Macaca fascicularis: one gene and its partner. The protein of the gene in region 2 purifies or fractionates together with the protein of the main gene of each other region. This does not show direct contact. Links are inferred from orthologs where the notes say so. Each region holds a gene or a part of one and is shown on either strand. Other genes may lie near its edges.

Region 1 (3,652 bases), on a different chromosome or scaffold from region 2:
GTGGTGCGATGCCCCGGCCAGGATTCAGACATTTATACAGAAAGTACCCAGCATCTCCATTGCCTCCCTGCCCACCACCCGCTCCGTAACCCCAGTCACCCCGTACTTCTCCATTTCCATACACCTGATAATTCCAGAATGTCATGTCAGCCGAATCATGTAACAGGGAACCCTTTGAGATTGGCTTTTCTTGTGCATCCTAATTCTCTGGGGATGCATCCAGGGTGCAGCTTGGGATCAGTAGTCCTTTCCTTTTTTGCTGCTGACTCATATTCCATGGTACAGTGTTCCACAGTTTCTTTAATTATTCACCCATGGGAAGACGCGAGGTGTTTCCAGTTTTGTGACTCTTACGAGTAACACTCTGGTACACGTTTGTGGACAGTTTTTGTGTGAACGTTAGTTTTCATTTTTCTGGCTTAAATTCAACTGCTGGGCCATGTGGTAGTTAGAAAATTGTTACCATTCCCCTAGGCCTATCCTGGAAATAAAATATTTAAGATAAATGTTCTTTAAAGAGACAGGCAGCGAAGGTGGACAACATTTTCTCTTTTTTTCATTGTTTCATTTTTAGTTGTATGTGTATGTTTTTGGTAGGGAAATGAACCCATTGAAAGAGATAAAATACCTCTTTCCTCCCATTTTTCTGTCTCTTACATCTCCCTTACTGCTTCTGTCTTCTTTAAACGCCTGTAGATTCACCAGACCAGAGCACTTGGGCAGCAGCGCCAAGATCAAATGCAGCGGTTGCCATAGCTACCAGGAGTCCACGAAGCAGCTCACTATGAAGAAACTGCCCATCGTAGCCTGTTTTCATCTCAAAGTAAGTTTTCCAGAAAGCCAACTCTAATGGCAGACTTAGTTTTTAGTCCACAGTACGGCCCTCAGCCTTTTGGTTTGCTGTGCCGTTGCATTTTTCATAACTGCAGCAAGCAGGAAGAACACCTAGGAAGGGTGGATGTGAGTGAATTGTCCTCCTGTCTGTGAATTGTCCTTTTGTCTGTGCTGCGGTAAACAAAATCAGTGGCTTCACAGTGAAAGTAGGATGAGAGTTACTTTTCTTGGGAAGCGGAGTGGTTGTGACTTTTTTTTACTTCTGCCATTCCTCCAGCTACCCCTCCTCTGGTTTTCTGTTTTCTTTTAAGACAAAGGCCCTCAGCATTCAGATCTGGTCCAGGAGTCGTCAAGCTCTTTCTCTGAAGGCCCGGATCGTAAAGATGTCAGGCTCCACAGGCTGCGTGCGATCCTACGATTCTCTGTTGCATGTTCTTTGTTTCATTTTACCACCCTTTAAACATGGAAAGCACCCATTCCTAGCTTGCTGGCTGGAATGGGTGACTCCTGATCTAGGCAAAGGAATGTCTTCTGTCTGGTGAAAGGAACAATTTGCTTGTTTTTGCTGCCACGAGCCATGGATCTTTGTTTTGTTTTCTGTGCTTTGCTGGGTTTGCTGTGAGATTACTTCTTGTACCCTTGGTGTTACCACTGAACAGTCCCATCATTTGAAGACTTGACTTGAACCCTGTACATGAGGACTTGGGTGGATTACCATTATGTTTTTGAATCTGTAATTCTAGCTGTAGCTACAAGGCAATTCAATAAAATACAAAGAGATACACAGACACCTGTCATTGGAAGAAGCCCCTGAAGCTTCCAGTGACATTTCTGGTCTTCTTTCCTCTTCCCTCTGCCCCTTTCCTATTTCTGCAGCGATTTGAACACTCAGCCAAGCTGCGGCGGAAGATCACCACGTATGTGTCCTTCCCCCTGGAGCTGGATATGACCCCTTTCATGGCCTCCAGGTAGGTGGGGGTGTAGGCCCGTTCTGTGTCCGGAGGGGCTGTGATCTTATCAGGACAGGAATGCAGCTCGGATCTCCTATGGTAAGATGACTGTTGGCGGGTGCGGTGGCTCCCGCCTGTAATCCCAGCACTTCAGGAGGCCGAGGAGGGCAGATCACAAGGTCAAGAGATTGAGACCATCATGGCCAACATGGTGAAACCCCGTCTCCACTGAAAATAGAAAAATTAGCTGGATGTGGTGGCAGGCGCCTGTAGTCCCAGCTACTTGGGAGGCCAAGGCAGGAGAAACGCTTAAACCTGGGAGGTGGAGGTTGCAGTGAGCCAAGATCGCGCCACTGTACTCCAGCCTGGTGACAGAATGAGACTCCATCTCAAAAAAAAAAAAAGATGTCTGTTGATATTAATATAAACCCCACCTTCCCAAAATTTATTTATCCTGATCTTAAGATATGGCACATGTTAATGAGTGGTTTTTCATCAGATACTCTGTTTTTGTTTTGAATGTTTCTCTTAACAATTCTCAATCCACTTTCAAACCGGCAAAGTCCTCGAGGTAGGATCACAGCGAGAAGGCAGCACTTCAATTCATGGAACAGATGTTGAAGTTTGCAGCTGTAGCTTGCATTTTCCTTTCCACATCTGCCTACTATGGGGCACTTGGCATTGAGCTGCTTACCAATGCATGAGACAAATAGGAGTTTCCTGTGGCTCTGTGACAAATGACCAAAAACTTGGTGGCTTAAAATTAAATTTCCTCACAGTTCTAGAGGTCGGAAATCTGAAATCAAGGTGTTGTCAGGGCCCCATGGTCCTACAGGGGTCTGGGGGATTCCATTCCTCAGCGCCTCCAGCTGCCAGTGTTTCCACGTGTTCCTTCTGTGGCTGCGCCACTCCCCTCATTTCTGGGTCACGTGGCCAGCTCCCCTGAGTCTGTGTCCAGTTCCCTCTGCTTCTCTGTCATGACAGTGGTCACTGGCTTTAGGGCCCAGGCAGATCATCCAGGAGGATCTTATCTCAACATCTTTACTTCGAGTCTCTGCAAAGACTGGTTTTACAAATGAGGTCCCAGTCTCAGGTTCTGAGGGTCGAGACGTGGGTATTGTTATTTGCAGGGTGTTATTTTTTGGCGGCCACAGTCCCGGCCCCAGCACCGTGGAAAGCATGTTGCCTTTTGGTAGTTACTGGCCTGTCCCACCGCTGTAGCACACAGCTGACCTCCTGAATAAAACAAGACCACCAGAGTCAGAGCTTCATGCCATCAGCCTGACCACGATGGTCACGTACTGAGGGAGGTGACGGTACTGTTCTAAGGTCAGGGTCTCAAAGATCTTAGTGTTTCCTGCCAAACACAGCCGTGGGAAAATGCAGTAAACAATGCTCATGGCTTCCTCTTCCCAGCACCGCCTCTCCCCTGTCTCACTAGGAGAGGTGCTGGTCATGAAACAATGAGCAGCAATCTTTGTCCCTTTTGAGGAGGCACCTGCCTAGGTTGTGAAATGGATTCAGCTTACCCTTTCATGCTAACCCTTTACATGTGGGAGGAAGGGCGCCTTCACCATCTACTTTGTCACAAACCAAACTCAGATTCCTCCAGATCCAGCTCCCATTACCAGCCCTATTCAGGACCCATCTTGGAAGAACCAGGGGCCACACCAGGTGGCCCCAGGACCCAGGTGTGCTCTGAGGCAGAGGCCTCCACAGCTCGAGTGTCAGTGTCCTCACGAAACCTGGGGAGATTTCTACTTGAAGCATAAAGCGCAGCCCGGTGCAGTGTCTGCATGGCCAAGCCTGGATAAGTGTCAGTTTCAGGAGAGGCTTGTATCTCTGGGCCTGATGATTTTAACGATGCT
Region 2 (4,163 bases):
ATTCTGAAGACTGGCATTCAAAACTTAGACATCTCACTAATTACCTGAGAAACCTTGGCCAAGTCAATTACTCTTATCCTCATTTTCCTCGCGTGGAAATGGAAATGCTATTACAAGCTTAACAGGGTTGTTGGGAAGATGACTTGAGAAAAGTAAGATACAGCAAAGCCTTGCCTTACCGATAAAAGTCACTCTCTGGGTCACTGTGCCGGATCTGGAATGGTGCATTGGGATTTTTACAATCTAAAGGCAGGAGGTCATCAGGGAGAGGAGGTGACCCAGGGCACGAGGGAAGAGGTTCACTCTCTTCAGTTTTTACACCTTCTGTCTGCTGCTGATTCTGGGCCTGCGCTGTGGCAATAAGGTTGCGAAGTCGTCGGTTGTGCTGAATCAACTGAATCGTATGGATGGTGAGACTACATGGCTCTGAGGGGATGTCCAGCATAGTGGGGGGCTTCGGCTTGTTGGCTGAGGGTTGGTGCAGGGGTGGGTCATGGACTTCCACCAGACGGAACTCCCGTGGGAGCAAATCAAAGGAACTTCTGTTGGTCTGGCTTGATGATATTGGTATCTCTCCCCAGTATCTCAACATTTTGGAATAAGAAGAGAAGAGGTCTCAGGATAATTGTAGATGATAACCTAAAAGTAATGTGTTTAAATCCTGGCAACTTTAGATTATAGGCTTCTGTAGTGAAAAATACGAGGTCTAGCCAGTTATTTATGTAAACAGCAGGCTATTTGTGACCACTTAGAAAAATGTCAGTGTCAGCAAAACTGTAGGACCAAAGATGTTCTCCCTAAACAAGAGAAATGTAACTGTTAGATGCTGGTTATTGTCATGCTATGACAATTCCTACTACACTGAACCACAGGGTAGAATTTGGGTCATTAGTAGACCAATAGCTACAACAGCATCTGGAGCTCTAGTATCCCTATTTCCATCTCACTCACGAACTCATTACCAGAACTACCATCATGCTCAATCCTGAACAATAAGCAAGGCCTGATAAAGTATCTTGATACATCTGTGCTGGATCAATAGGAGAAAAGCAAGTAGCGTTAAAGATAGTAAGAAGTAGTTCTTATTATGTGTATCTTAGGCATGGTCCTGCTGGAAAAATTTATGAACCACTAATATAAATGGCATTATGCTTTCAACTTTTGCAATATAGAATGTGAGGAATGTGAGAGATTTCTGCTGCCTCCTAATTGGTATCCCTTCCTCCAATCTCTCTTTGTATGTAATCTATTCTCTACACTGCTGCTAGACTTACTCTTTTTAAAACTTAAATCTAATGGCTTCCCATTGCCTACTGGAAAAAGTCAGAATTCCTTGGCTTATGATTCAACAAAATTCACAATCTGGTTTCAACTCACCTTTGCAGATTCATTGTCCATATGTCTCTTCAAGTTCAACAAACATTTATCAAATGCCTGGCATTCTGTGCGGGTCAAAGACTGATAATGTGAGATCCTTGCCCTGAGGTGAGGAAGAGAAACAGAAGCAGAATATTTCAATATGAAAGTACGTGGTAAGTACTGTTCTAGAGGTATATGGACCTGGGGTAGTGGAAGCACAAAGGAGGAACTCCCTGGGTGAAATGACTACCTTTGTTCTAACAACGTTATACTACTCAGTTTCTTGAGAATGCTGTCCATTTCCACAGTTGACACTTCCAGCTGTGAACTCTGCCAGAAATGCTCTGCCAACCCTGCACATCCCTGGCAGACTCATATTCATTTTTAAGTAAAGCATAAGTCCCCACCCTCCGTCATTTCCCCAGTGCATCTCCCTTTCTCTATTCTCACAGTGCTTTGCATGTCTACGTCACAGCATTTATCTTTGGATTTTAATTAGTACTTATCACAGTAGATTTTTTCCTCCCATCTATTTCTTATGGCCATGGTCTTGTTACAGGGCCAGGCACAGAGAAATATCTATCTGGCATTTGTTGAATGTTTACTATATACCAGACTTCACCTTTTTTGTTTGTTTCTTTTTTGAGACAGGGTCTCACTCTGTAGCCCAGGCTGGAGTGCAGTGGTACAATCGTAGTTCACTGCAGCCTCAATCTCCTGGGCCCAAGAAATTCTCCCATCTCAGCCTCTGGAGTAGCTGGGACTACAGCCGTGCGCCAGTATCTTTTTTTTTTTTTTTGGCGAGACAGGGTCTCGCCATGTTGCCCAGAGGGCCCCTCTGGAACTCCTGGGCTCAAGCAACCCTCCCGCCTCAGCCTCCCGAAATGTTGGGATTACAGGCATGAGCCACCGTTCCGGCTGACATTTATTGTTTAATTCAATTCTTCCAACAACCCTATGAAGCTAATAATCTTATCCCCATTTTTCAGAGTGAGGGCTGAGGCCTAGTGTCTTGCCCAATGTCACAAATGGCGAGGTCGAAAATCGAGTCTCCAGAGTCTGCACTCTTAACCACTAAACTATTCTGCCTTAATAATTAATTTCAGAAAAAAATAAATGAATGAACGAAATAAAAAAAAAAAAAAGTCGCCCTCTTCCCTTACTTTACCGAAAGGAGCAGGAAGAACAGGCACTGAGCCCAAGGAATGCCCAAGTCCCTCCAGGGGTTTTCTCGGTCACGGTCCGCCGGCGCAGGCGCCTATCAGAGGGTCCTGAGGTCGCCTGCTGTCCAGAGCAGCCGGAAAAAGGGGAGGTCTGGACCTGAACCGAGACAAGGAGGTACCACACTACTCACTGCTGCCTCACAGAGCGGGCTGGGCGGCTGTCTGGACCCCGAGAGGCCTGAGGCAAGGGTCGCGTCAAGCCCCAAAAGCTGGTTTGTTGATTAGTGAGCTAAGACCGCCGGAAGCGCTTCTTCTCACTCAAGCTATGCAACAGGAAGTCATTACGATCTCGTTGTAACCTCTAAAGATGTCCCCGTTCTGCACAGCATCCCGATAACCGTTTTTTCTCGTATTATGACCTTCTCGCGTTAGCACCAATTTGCAACTCTCTAGGTCGTGAAGGAGCAACTTCACCACCGCCGCCTGCAGACGCCACTGGGAGCTTGGGAGAGTGGGACGTGTACAGGAACGTAAAGACCGAAGGGTGAGGTTTCGAAGGAGCGGATTTCGAGGTTGCACTGATTGAGGATGGCTGACTTTCTCTCTCAGTCAGAGCCGCTGGCATCGCAAGAGCTCAGTGGGGACTTCAAGAAGCCAGCTCTGCTGGTGCCCGCAGCGGCGCGGAGTAAGGCCCCGGCCACCAGTTCTTCAAACCCTGAGGAGGTGCAGAAGGAAGGGCCCACTGCGTTGCAGGACCCCAGTTCTGGGGAGCCCGACGTCCCTCCTCCTCAGCCGGACTGCGGGGATTTTAGGAGTCTACAGGAGGAGCAGTCGCGCCCCCCGACAGCGGTTTCTTCCTCTGGCGGTCCAGCCCGGGCTCCCCCCTACCAGGAGCCTCCATGGGGTGGCCCTGCCACAGCCCCCTACAGCTTAGAGATCCTGAAGGGCGGCGCTATCCTTGGCACCCGTAGCTTGAAAGGGACGAGTTACTGCCTTTTCGGGAGGCTGTCTGGCTGCGACGTGTGCTTGGAGCACCCTTCGGTGTCTCGGTACCACGCAGTACTGCAGCACAGGGCGTCCGGCCCTGACGGAGAATGCGACAGCAACGGGCCGGGCTTCTACCTCTACGATCTGGGAAGCACCCATGGCACTTTTCTCAACAAAACTCGCATCCCACCTCGCACCTACTGTCGAGTCCACGTTGGACATGTTGTTCGCTTCGGAGGCAGCACCCGGCTCTTTATCCTGCAGGTAGGTAGAAAAACCTAGAATTGAAATCTCGGGCTCATTGGGCTGCGTTCTTGTGCTTCTTAAGCTTTTGATGAGGAAGAAGAATCTCCCATTCAGCGATTACAAAAGTGAAGGAATCAAGTCTGGCCTATCATCTCCAGAGTGCTGTACACATTGCCGTATTTATGAAAGTCATGTTCACAATCCCGAACTCTAAAATAGTTTTTTTTGTTTGTTTGATTTTTGGCCAGGTGCGGTGGCACGCGCCTGTAATCCCAACACTTTGGGAGGCCCAGGCGGGAGGATCGCTTTACCCCAGGAGTTTGAGAGGAGGCTGGGCAACATGGCAAGACCCTGTCTCTGAAAAAAAAAAAAAAAAAAATTAATTAGCCAGGCATCATGGTCCCAGCT

The links.
Region 1: the proteins of SUPT7L (region 2) and USP22 purify together in Homo sapiens (affinity purification with mass spectrometry; 3 studies listed by BioGRID and IntAct, with this or other methods). This does not show direct contact. The link is inferred for Macaca fascicularis from reciprocal best matches to the Homo sapiens genes SUPT7L and USP22.

The regions. Positions count from the first base shown.
Region 1 is NC_088390.1:20,414,657-20,418,308, reverse strand, and holds part of USP22 (ubiquitin carboxyl-terminal hydrolase 22), read left to right. Parts: intron 1-696; coding exon 697-823; intron 824-1,710; coding exon 1,711-1,802; intron 1,803-3,652. UniProt on the Homo sapiens protein: Deubiquitinase that plays a role in several cellular processes including transcriptional regulation, cell cycle progression or innate immunity.
Region 2 is NC_088387.1:94,570,366-94,574,528, reverse strand, and holds the start of SUPT7L (STAGA complex 65 subunit gamma), read right to left. Parts: upstream 2,839-4,163; 5' UTR 2,523-2,838; intron 1,481-2,522; 5' UTR 1,392-1,480; coding exon 1,378-1,391; intron 798-1,377; exon of another isoform or gene 593-797; coding exon of another isoform or gene 585-592; coding exon 180-584; intron 1-179. Other genes in the region: SLC4A1AP (kanadaptin), read left to right, coding at 3,111-3,773.